Oryzias latipes: one gene and its partner. The main gene of each other region encodes a partner of the protein of the gene in region 2 in a complex. Links are inferred from orthologs where the notes say so. Each region holds a gene or a part of one and is shown on either strand. Other genes may lie near its edges.

Region 1 (5,784 bases), on a different chromosome or scaffold from region 2:
GGTTTTGTGTAGAAGTAAGTCTAAATCTGCCTCCTCCTGCAGGTGGAAGCCCCTTTCATACCAAAGTGCAGAGGTCCCGGAGACACCAGCAACTTTGACGACTACGAAGAGGAGGAGATCCGCGTTTCTCTAACAGAAAAGTGCGCCAAGGAGTTTGCGGAGTTTTAGAAGGCGAGAAAGTGGATATATCAGGGAAATGAAGTGGGATCTTTGCACTCTTCAAAAAGACTTGGGATGGAGCAAAGACGGTGTTTTTTTCAAATCTACGTAGTCCCTTCATTCCACGAAGGCCACATATGGCTGAATGAGGTCAACACAATCCTCAGGTGCCCATAACCTCTCACTGTCTCATACACCTGGGTATTAAAGCAGACACATCACTCTTTTCTTTTTGAATGCATACTTTTTTCTTTTTTTTTTTTTTTACTTTGGTCTCTTTTTAACCCCAGTTTGACATACGTTGACTTTCAGGAAAAGCGGCGGCCAATTACGCTCGCCACTGACCTTCCTGTGGCTGTTTGTGTCTTCCCTCCCACCATCAGCAGTGTGTAACTAAAAGTCCACATCAGAGGTACTTCTGTGGTTTGTACGTCAGTTGAAAGACGTCCGAACACGTGCGGCGTTTAAAGCATGACCAAATAGGAAACAAAATCGGAGTCACACAAGAAAGAGAGGCCATTTCCTTTCTTTGCTTTGCCTTAGAGAGTCACGTCCTCAGACTCCTCCCCCCTCCATTCGCTCTCCGCTCCACCATCCCACCCCGGCACAGCACGCTACTGCAGAAAATGACAAACCTTGCATTTGTAGAGCAAAGGTTCACTTGTTTGTGTGATCCCTTTGGGTCTTAGTTCCACGTAAACGTCATCATTTGCTATATTGTTTTTTTGTTTTTTCTTCTTTGTCACTGTTTTTAATATGTAATCCCTAGGTTTCAGGTCTGCTTTAGACCCTTTGTTACGAGTCTGTGTGGAACAGTGAGACTTCTGTAAATGGAAAAGAATGAAAGGCGATTTTTATTGAGTGTTTTTGTAAAGTTGCAACAACCCGTGTGAACAGTGTTTGGGTTTTGTACCTCAACACTATTAGCTCTAACGAGAAAACGTAATCCACAATGAGAAATGTTTCAAAAAAAAAAAAACCCAAGAAGCAGGATGGCAAAAATAATAAATATACCATCTCCTGTCTTTTACCGCCCCTGAAGTTTTTCATTCTTATCAAAGAATGTAGATTTGCAACTTCTAGTTATGTGTTTGAAAGCTTGAATTCAAGGTAAAAACTTTTCCTCACGATGCACTGGCTAAACGAAAGACCGCTCCGTCATATCACATATAATCTTGTTATTGTTGAGCTCATTGCATTATACGTATATGCATTGTTTCATATATGTTTTTATTTATACACATTAGAGATGCTAATAAATTTTATTTTTAAAACTCTTGAGGTTTGAGTTGTACTCCTTTTCTTAGGCTTCATCTTTTCATCTTCATCTTCATACCTTTATCGATGGAAAGGATTTTGATGTTAAATGCGATATTAAAGCAAATCTAAAGGTAAAAAGACAACAAATGAAGCAACAAACAGAATGAAGAGATGGAAGATGAGGCTGGAATGTCGTCTGAGATCTGATAAAAGCTTTAAAGTGAAATGCTGGCAGGCAGTTTGTGTGACTGAAATATTAACAAAGCAGGCCAAAATGTAGTCAATTTAAACACGTTTTAAAAGGTGAAAAGCTTTACTCTGTAATCAATTTAAAAACACACAAAAAACTTATTTTAAATATGGCATTACAAGGTAAGTCTACTTCATATTTGTAAATTATCAAATGCTTTAACACAAATTTTTTTTTAAATATGAAAAAGTGAAAGATGTTGATCTGATTTAAAATGATCACGAACGATTGGCGCTCAAAAATATTAAAATTAAACTAGAAAAATAAATGACAATAGAATTGAATCCTTTTTAACATCAGAAATGAAAATATATCTTCTGTATAATTTACAAAAATGCTAAAACATTTTATTTAAAAAGATTAACACTGGATTTACTTTTTAAAATTTGAAAACCAAGATGTTTTGGAAAAATAAATATACTTTGACTTGGGTTCTGATTTCAGACAGAAGATAAAACAAACTGCAGCGCCTGTAAAACTTGTCAAGATGTCAGGGGCAAAAATTAATAAAATAAAAGAAAATGAGAAAATCTGCAGGTGTCCTTTAAAGAATTCTTATAGTAATTTCAGAAAATGTTGCTGTACTCTAATATCAAAATTCTATATTTAAAGACAGTATTTTAAAATTGACATTCCCAAGAAAAAACAATAGTTATTAAAATCATGATTAATCTTTATCAGATTATGTCAATACTCTGACATTAAATGAAGTGTTTATTGTGTTGAAAATATTTATAAATCTGAATTCCTAAAACTTAAAATGCTTAAAGTCTTATTTTATCTTGTAATTTTAAATTAAAAATCGGAGTCGTGAGATTAAAGTCAGAATTCTTAAATGTAAAAACTGCATGCCGTGTGTAATTTCTCAGCTCCTGATTTTAATTTATTTTATTAATTAGTTTTGACTCGCGTACTAGTAGTTCCGCATTTATCTACTTCTTTTGTTCTGACGTATCAGTTAGATTTAAAAATAATATAAAATAAGAAAAAAGGCTTTCTAAATGTTTCGTTAGGCTACTTTTCCAGTAAGAAGTTGTTACTAAACCATCTAAGTAAAATAAATATGGAAATCTTTTTTGCGACACTTTCTTCCGACGTTGCTGTAACTGCTCGAAGAGGATGATGGTTAATGTAGTACATCAGTAGACACGTGTGTTGTCGTGTAGTTAAGCTAGGGAAAATGGCGGGTCTGGAGCTGCTGTCTGATCAAGGATACCGGTTGGATGGAAGAAAAGCTACCGAGCTGCGCAAAGTCCAGGCCCGCATGGGGGTGTTCGCTCAGGCCGACGGTTCCGCGTATCTGGAGCAAGGAAACACCAAAGCTCTGGCGGTGGTTTACGGCCCGCATGAAGTGAGTGGCGCGCGCGCGTGGAGAAGTGACGTAAAAACAACACCACCAGTCTGTTCATGGCAGCCAAAGAAACGGTGCAAACTGCGTTTAATGAAGGATTAAGATATTTCTATGTAATGTGTCAGATTTAAAGGGATATTTTACATTAATGTAATGATTTTAGTATAATACGTTTCCTTCAAAGCATTTTATTGTATCAGTAACACAAAATGTTTACTTATCTGGCTCGGTCACACAGTACTTACTAACAACTGCATTCAAGAGTTTTTGAACTTGTTATGCTATTCTGAGGTAAACTTACTGCTTTTGAATCTTTGACTTGCTGAGAAATCCAAGTTAATTTGAGGATTTGTTGGTTAATTTATTCATTTACCAAAAGTATTCCAAGCCCCAAATATAACAGCCCCTTACCATGACACCATTACCACCATGTTTGACTGTTTGTGCAATGTTTTACACTAGAGTGATGCGAGGCACATCACCCAAAATGTTTCACGGTTATCTTTTCTGTCCTGAAAGTCTTTCCTAAATCTTGTAGAACATCGATATTTCTGATGGAAAACCTGAGATGTTGTTTTTGCTCATCTGTGCCGTTGACCTCAAACTCTCCCATGTCTGGCGTTTTTATTGTCTGGTTTACCTCTGATGATGGATTAAAAAGCTGTTTTACTCAAAGGACAGATGTATGCCGCCCTGTGAAAAATGTCAGACCTTTTTTATGGTTCTCCTATGCTTACTTCCTGTTTCCCATTCAGATTCGAGGTGCTCGTAGTCGGGCTCTTCATGACAGAGCCATTATCAACTGCCAGTACAGCATGGCCACCTTCAGCACGGCGGAGAGGAAGAGGAGACCGCACGGAGACCGCAAGTCCACAGAAATGAGCCTTCACCTCAAGCAAACGTTTGAAGCTGCCGTGCTGACCCAGCTCTACCCACGCTCCCAGATAGACATCTATGTCAAGGTTGGCCTTAGATTTATAGTATACTGCGCTCTACTTCATAGCATCTGTTTTCGTCATTGTTTTAAGAACGTTTTCATCATTCAAGATTCTTCAGTCCGACGGGGGGAACTACAGCGTTTGTGTGAACGCCGCCACACTGGCAGTGATCGACGCAGGGATACCGATGAGGGACTATGTGTGCGCCTGCACAGTGGGCTTCGTGGATGAAACCTCTCTTGCCGATCTTTGCTACGCAGAGGAGAGCGGAGGAGTGAGCTCTCTGGCTTTGGCGCTTCTGCCCCGCGGAGGGCAGATCGCTCTGGTCCAGATGGATGCCAGACTGCATCAGGATCACCTCGACACTCTGATTGAGGCGGCAATGACCGCTTGTAAAGGTGTGAGCAAAGTCCTGGACCAGGTGGTCAGGCAACATCTCCAAGAAGGTTCTACGCTCAGAGAATAATGGTGAAGGAAAGAGTAAACAAATGGTTTCCTGGGATCAACACTTATTTTGTCGTCATTCTTAACATTTTATTAAGTATATTTGTGCATAAAGAATAAATGTGAATGTATATCGTTTCTTTGTATTTGCATTTGTTTTATTAGCTGAAAACTGACCTGTTTTTGATGCAAAAATCAATGTGATCAACTGAAACAGCAACATCAGCATTTTATATATAAACAGATAATAAAGCTTTGTTTTCAGACTGATACAATAAGAACCTTTATTTTAAACCACACATCCGTAAGAGTAAACAATTTGTGAAAAATTAGATAATTCTTATATCCAATTTATTTAGCTGTGTTGATATCTTACAAATTTTCACCAAAACAATACTTTTTATTCCTGAATGAAATGCTCTGTTCATGTGTTTAGTCTTTTTTTTTTAGATTAATTTTCTTTGATTTGTTTTGCAGACAGGCTATTCTGCTTTTGCTTTTGTTTGTTGTAAAAGTAATTTTTATGTCACAATACAATACATGTTTTGTAAGAGTTTCAGTCCGTTGAGGCTGAATAATCTATCATTTTCTTTACCTGCTGAAACAAAATTGGTATTAATGTAACTTACTTTTTAAAGTAACTTTTCTTACATAAATCTTTATTAGAATTATTGCATATTAAAGTACATTTTCACTGATTATTACAAAAAGATGCGTGACTAAGTTTAAATAATCACATTTTACACCACCTCTGGAATATTTTGATAAATAGAGATGTATTTCATTTTTGACCGGATATGCATTTTTCAGACCGGAAGTTGGTCCACAGAATTAACGTTCCCGCGGGAACAAGGAAACAAAATACTTCAGCAGCCCTGGTGTGGAAGCGTCGCCTCTGCAAGTGTGACTAGGTTTGAGGTACATTTTTTTACGTCTTAAATATATCACATTTATAAACAACGTTTACACTTTTGACGGATGGTATATATTTTTAAATACTAACGATGCTGTTCTGTCGAAGCTAGCAGCATTAAGCTAACCATCATTCATGAAGTTGAATGAAACGACGAGAGTCAGAAGACATTATGTTAATATTTGTAGTTATAATTATTTTTATCACGACCACACCAGCTAAAAAAAAGTCTAAATGATTCTAAAACGGTTGTATTTTTCTCTGCGTGGTGGTACAAGCTCATGGATTCGTCCAAAAATCAGTGCAGGAGTTAGTGAGAGTGAATCCCAACATGCTCCTCTGTCTAAAGTAGCTTTCTTCAATGTCTGGTTCCGAGCTAAAAGTGACGTCTAATGAAATATGACTGAAGGGCTGTTTCTCCTATAGGAAAAAACAGTAATAGTTAAGTTAGAAATCATCATCATAAAGT
Region 2 (6,175 bases):
CCCGTGTACCAGACGTGAGGGGTTCTGGGGTTTCCAGACAAGCCTTTTGACTCCACCACTTGGACCGGAATGACAGACGACCGCTAACAATGACTCAAATGACACCAAAACACAGCCGTGAACGTTTGCGGTACAAGGCCACGTGACCTGGACAATGCAGCAATGGTCTACCATTCGGCTCGCTGATGAGTGTCGGGTCACCTCGTTGCTGGAGAAGGCGAGGTGAGCGAAACGCTGAGGTCAACACGGTCCCCAGGGTTGACTTTGGTGGAGGCGGAGCAACAGTCTGGTGGCGGCAAACCCATTTGATGGTCCAGTCCCGTTCTTACCTCAGAGACATCATAGAACCATCATCACCCACTTCCTGTGGTAATAGATGATAATGTTCCACCACATGGTGCCAGAAGCTGGACCTCGGGAAGTAGGTGTGGCTTCATATGGTGTGGTCAGCAATGACCCCTGACCTGAAGCCCATAGAGCAGGTCTGGGACAGCTGAAGCACAGACTGGATGATAGTCTTCTTTTGAAGGAAAAATACACTTAGACTAAGATTTATAGAAAATGTTAAATGTGCTTTATGTAAAAAAAAAATGAAAGTACACAGTAAAGTTTATTTCAGCCAAGAAAGCCAACTTTTTCTCTCTTCTTTCCCAGACTCTCTTCCTGCTGCAGCAGCTTCATGAGTGGAGCGTGAAGAGCTTTCCCGACTCGTTTGCCCGCCTGCACAAACAAAAGAACATTAACTTTATTCTGAAAGGTCAGGGTCGTTGAAAGGTCGTCTACTCTCACCTCTGTCATTTCGAAGATGCTCTCTGGATCCAGGCTCCCGCCGCCCACCTTTTTGACGCAAGTCACCGTGCCCCTGTGCGTGACGGCGATGATGAGGCTCGCCACCGAGCACGCCTTCTCCTGCAGAGTCGCGTCCACTACGTGTCTGTGGCCCACCTGCTCAACGACAGCCACTCTTCACAAACCGTCGCGTTTACGACCACGGACTTCACCTGCGAGCAGCGGCTCACCTTACACAGCGTCACGATGCAGGGAACATTTTCCACGCTCAGCCTCACGCAGTCAAACGGGTCGTCTGAAAGCTCCACCTCCTTCCCGCCTTCATCGTCCGACGACATGTGGACTCTAGGGATTCTGGGGGAGAAATGATGGGAGCACAGGATGAGCTGAAAACGTCTCCAAACACGACGAAATGTGAAAAACTGATACACACTTTGTGTTGAAGAGTGCCGCTTTGATGGCGACAGAGATGGCGTCGTACAGGTTGCCGTCACACTGCAGCAGCTGCAAACAAGACGATGCAAACGCCTTTATGAAGTGGTGGTTTTTACAAATCATTTGAGGCCTTTGAGGTGAAGCTCCGCCCCTTCTCAGGCCGCATTTCTTCTAACTGGCTGACTGACTAAGTAGACCTCACTTCCTCATTACACATCAGCTGCCTTTCAACTCATTTAGTGTTTCTTGAGTCCGACAAACCTCCTCCATGAAAAACAAACTGCATCCACTGCAGGCCGGTATGACTATTTGGGGTTTAAGGAACAAAAAATAAAATAAAATACATATTTCTTGATACTTTCACAAGTTGAAGTGCTACTATGGAGTTACATCAGTGTCTCTTAATTATTTTACCCAACTATGAAGAAATGACGCTTAAAATTAGAAAGAAAAAAAAACAACAGCATATAATTATGAAACTAGAATAAAAAAACTATAAACCTACAGTGAAAATGAAATAAAATTAATGTTTATTAGAAACTGGTATGTTTTTGTTAGTTAAACAAACGAAAAAACCAAAACTTCACTATATAAAACGGCAGCTGCTACAAATGAAGATCATTTTTTATTTGGTAACATTTGTAAGTTTATAGTTTTTTTAGTTTAAGTTTTAAATCTACAATCTTTGTATCCAATTTTCTGTATTTCTTCAAGTTTAGAATGTATAATTTCAAGTTTAACACCATTTCAAAACATTCTTCTTTTTCTTTTTTCAAGTTTACAACCTTATTTTTTCTTAATTTTAACCTGATTTGACCCCATCTGCTACCCCTCAGCAGCACAGCAGACATACTTCAGCATTTCATTTTTAATGCATACAAGGTAAACAAAACACTTGCTTAACTTTATTTAAAAAAAAAATCTAAATGCAGCAACAAGTTTTTCCTAAACAAACAAAAAACATGTAAATGTCTACTTCAACCTGTTTTTTTAACCCAATTTTTTACCCAAAATTCTAAAAAACTTAAAAATCATAAGATTTAGCATTATTACTGAATTTACGTCTATTGTTGTTGTGTTTATTGTTTTATTTTTAACATTTTTATGTTGTGTTTATATTTTTATGTTAAAGAGACTCACCAGGACATCTACATAGAGAACCCAGCAGTGCTCCCCAGCACTGATGCAGAGGCCCTTCAGGTCTATGCTGTTCTTGTTGTTGAAGACTCTGTAGAGAGTGTTGCTCAGCTCGATCCCTAGCTCCTCACCTCCTCTGCCTTCAAACTCGGGGGTGGCGTTGGCAGAGCTGGGGGTGTTGGGGAAAAAAATGTCAGGGAATCAAAAAAAAACATCAAACATTGACAATAACTCAGTTTGGTTCCGATTCTTAAACCAGAACAGCCCGGCATGGTCCTCATGAACACCCTCTACGTCTTAAAGCTGAATACCTGGATCAGGTGAGTTCAGCCAATCGGAATGAGGAGTTACAGAATCAGAAGAAAGCGGAGAGAAGTGGGGAAAACTGAGTCAATGGTGCAACAGTTAATCCCAGCAGTTATTAGTTTAGGAGTTTATTATCCTGCAAGATGATTTAAACAAAAACAGATATCCAAAATAAACTTTATTTTTAAAACATCCTCATTACTTTAAAATGCTTCGCAGGACAAAGACATCCTTCAAACTTCAAAAACAAACACAAAAAATATTTAAACATGCATTATAAGCTTTAGAACATGTAATGATCTCAACAAAAACATCAAGAGAGACTTCCCAACTTAGCCAAAAAGAAATCAAATATGTAACGGTTTAGGGTTCAGGTATTTCTAATATTTATATCAAGCCAAAAATGCAAACATTATTCATTTTAATAAACTATAGAGGCTATTCAATGTTTTTCTTTACTGTTTTGATGCAATACAATTCTGTCAAATGTCAAATTGTGCACATTTTGATGTCCAAACCTGCTTTAAATGCACACTAAACCTACCAATCAACAAAGAACTCCAGGTATCCTTCATCTGGAACCAGTGGTCTTGGTTTTCCTATTTCTGCTTTAATCCCAACCAGGACGGCGGTGTGTCCCTGAGAAGCACGATGGAAGGAAAATAAAGACACTGTTTCTGCGGATCTTTCACACGTAAATGTTGATTTTACCAGGGAGACTCTGGCAGATCCATCAGTGTTTGAGACCACATCCGTCTCCACTTCCATGTGTCGGTAGTCCTCACAGCTTCTTCCATCCACACGTAAATCATCCTGAGGAGAATACAAACATCCACATCTTTAGGTTGGTGTGACAACTTCACAGACATTTAGCTTAATAGAGCACACATTTCTAGAACAACTCACTCTTATTCCGTGTAGAATGTACACCTTTTCAGCCTCGCTAACTTTAACTGTTGCCATGTTAACTCAACAAACAGAAGAAGAAGAAACGGTGCCGGGAGGCTCTTCTTCTACAGTTTTCTCGATGAAGGAACTATGTCGCCACCACCTGGAAGAAGTGGGAGCTGCTGTTCAACATCACAAAATTTAATAATAATAATAATAATAATAATAATAATAATAATAATAATAATAATAATAATAATAATAATAATAATACAAAAACAATAATAATAATAAAATAATGACAATAATAATACATTTTTGAGAGTAATCTTTTTTTTCTTCTGTGTAGGAATGTAGATGCTTGTGCTATGTTTGTCCATATCATAAAGAGTATATAGACAGTTTTAAAATATATTTCTATTTAATTATATTCAGATTTTTTTATATTTATAAATGCACATATACAAAACAAGTTAGGGTGAACAATCGTTATAAATGCGCATATTGAAAAAACAAAACAAAATTTAAAAAATATGATAAAGGCAAGGCAAAAAACAATTCAAAATAACAGTACGTTTGATATATTTTGATAAATTACTGTAGTTTTCTTGTTTTTGTTTGGAATGCATTTAAGACACTTATAATAATCAGAAAAGTAATTCAAAAAATACCAAACAAAGGGCATGTAGTTTTCCATTTACATAAATGAATGAAATTTTTGCATTAAATAATAACAACATTAATGACATCAGAAATTCCTGGGTCCATATTTTCCATATAGAAAATAACAACAGATAAGGAAAAAAGGGAATATTTAAAACTTTGAGTGACAACCAATTGTGAATATCAGTCCAAAATATTTTTATCTGTAACTGTAACAGAGATGTTCTAACGTTTCAGTTTCAGATTAACAGAATAGGCATGGCTCCGATTGAAATTTGAATCTTTTATGTAAAAAAATCTCCAACAGGGTAAATTTGAGATATTATTTTAAAATGCGTTTCTTTCATTTTAGGTGGAAGTGGGTACTTTGTGTATAAAGAAAAAAATGTGTTCATTAGGGTGGTTTCTAAGTCCCGTCTATTGTTTATACTAAAGTTGCAGAAAGTTATTTGTTTAAAGGTTAGAGTTACTAATTTATTGGTGCATTTTTTTTTCATCTTTTAGGGGAATATCATTAATTTTCAGATCTGTAAATTGTGGTTTGATTGCATTGTATTGTAGTATGTATTGTCAGAAATATGATTATTTGGGTGTTTTTTGGAAGTACTTGTAAAAAAAATAAAATGATTTTAAATGGAAGAAAAATTGCCCTGCGTTTTGGCCAAAGGGGTGGATTTAATTTTAGACCATAATCTGATTGGTCAGTTTACAGGAAGTCCTTCCCGGGTTCTCTCCTGACAGACCATACCCAGGGCGAATCTACTAGGGGTAATCAAACTTCCTGGTTGGGTATGGGTGCGTTTTTATTCCTCCCGCAGAGATTTCTGGATGAGACCCTTCAAGAAAACATAAAATACAGTGACTTATTAAAGTTTAAGTCGAAGAACTAGCTAGCAAATTACCTTGTTAATTAAACGGAGACCAGAAACCAGGAAGAAGCCATTGAGTACACGCGTTAGCGGGGATTTAGCTAACGATCACAGCGGGCGGGGCGGACGTGGTTCGATTCCCTAAGGCTTCAGGAAACGTGAAATCTTCTGGATTCTTGACAACAAAGCTAAGAGGGTGACAGGTGGGTTGTTGAGCCAGAAAAAGGTTTTAGCTGTAAATGTGAGATGTGTGTTGTTGTTTTTGTGATTAGCTTCCAGAGCTCCCGCTCTTGCTGCCAGAGCAGAGGGAACTTCCGGGTTGACTCAACATCCTGTGGAGACGGTTCAATTAAAGTGATAATCATGGCTTCATCTCTGTTTTTGCCCATTTGATTGAAGCTCAGTCTGTCGTCTTAATTCTTTTTTGCCATAAAGTACTAAATCAGTTCATTTTGATTGACAAATTCATGTTTTGAATCACATCTCAACCCGACACATGAGCAAATTTCCATAAAAAACATTATTTAAAAAGAAGAAACGGTTTAGAATAGGGAAAAAAAAAACTTTATTGATCCCAAAACAGGAACATTAATTGATGACGTTTGTTTTTCACATAACTAGTCATATAAACTGAACAAAGATAGAAGTTTCATTCATAAAAATAAATAAACAGGTGAAAACATTAAAAAAAAGAAAACATTTTTTTAAATAAAGTTTAACTTGGTCTAAATAATCAAGATTAGATTTTAGTTTTATAAATGTAGATTAAATATATGCATGAGTGTTGCATTAAAAAAAAAAAAAACTTCCTGCCACTAGAAGGATTTCCTGTTTGGAGTTTGCATCTCGTTTTCTTTGGATCTTCAGCCTCATCTTTGTTTTTCAACGTCAGGTTGATCAGTTTTGCTAGTTTTGCTAGTTTTGGTCTGTTTGTAATGGTTGTTTTAACTCCTTTTTGCTTGTGAGGCCTCCTGTCCTTCCCCTCACGCTGCAGAAGTTGGCCTGCATGATCTGTATGGAGACTCTAATTTACTGATTGAGATGCTTCTATTTAAAACTGTAGGTTTTAATCTGAAATCTTTCAGCTC

The links. Proteins that work in one complex are often made in the same cells at the same time.
Region 1: exosc7 (region 2) and exosc4 share a complex: the UniProt entries of both Homo sapiens proteins name them as parts of the RNA exosome core complex. The link is inferred for Oryzias latipes from reciprocal best matches to the Homo sapiens genes EXOSC7 and EXOSC4.

The regions. Positions count from the first base shown.
Region 1 is NC_019875.2:26,759,244-26,765,027, reverse strand, and holds exosc4 (exosome complex component RRP41), read left to right. Parts: upstream 1-2,785; 5' UTR 2,786-2,849; coding exon 2,850-3,020; intron 3,021-3,775; coding exon 3,776-3,982; intron 3,983-4,067; coding exon 4,068-4,424; 3' UTR 4,425-4,540; downstream 4,541-5,784. Other genes in the region: cAMP-dependent protein kinase catalytic subunit beta, read left to right, coding at 43-168. UniProt on the Homo sapiens protein: Non-catalytic component of the RNA exosome complex which has 3'->5' exoribonuclease activity and participates in a multitude of cellular RNA processing and degradation events.
Region 2 is NC_019869.2:5,726,976-5,733,150, forward strand, and holds exosc7 (exosome complex component RRP42), read right to left. Parts: upstream 3,713-6,175; 5' UTR 3,631-3,712; coding exon 3,574-3,630; intron 3,481-3,573; coding exon 3,379-3,480; intron 3,307-3,378; coding exon 3,212-3,306; intron 2,531-3,211; coding exon 2,365-2,530; intron 1,294-2,364; coding exon 1,223-1,293; intron 1,144-1,222; coding exon 1,020-1,143; intron 946-1,019; coding exon 790-945; intron 721-789; coding exon 616-720; 3' UTR 552-615; downstream 1-551. UniProt on the Homo sapiens protein: Non-catalytic component of the RNA exosome complex which has 3'->5' exoribonuclease activity and participates in a multitude of cellular RNA processing and degradation events.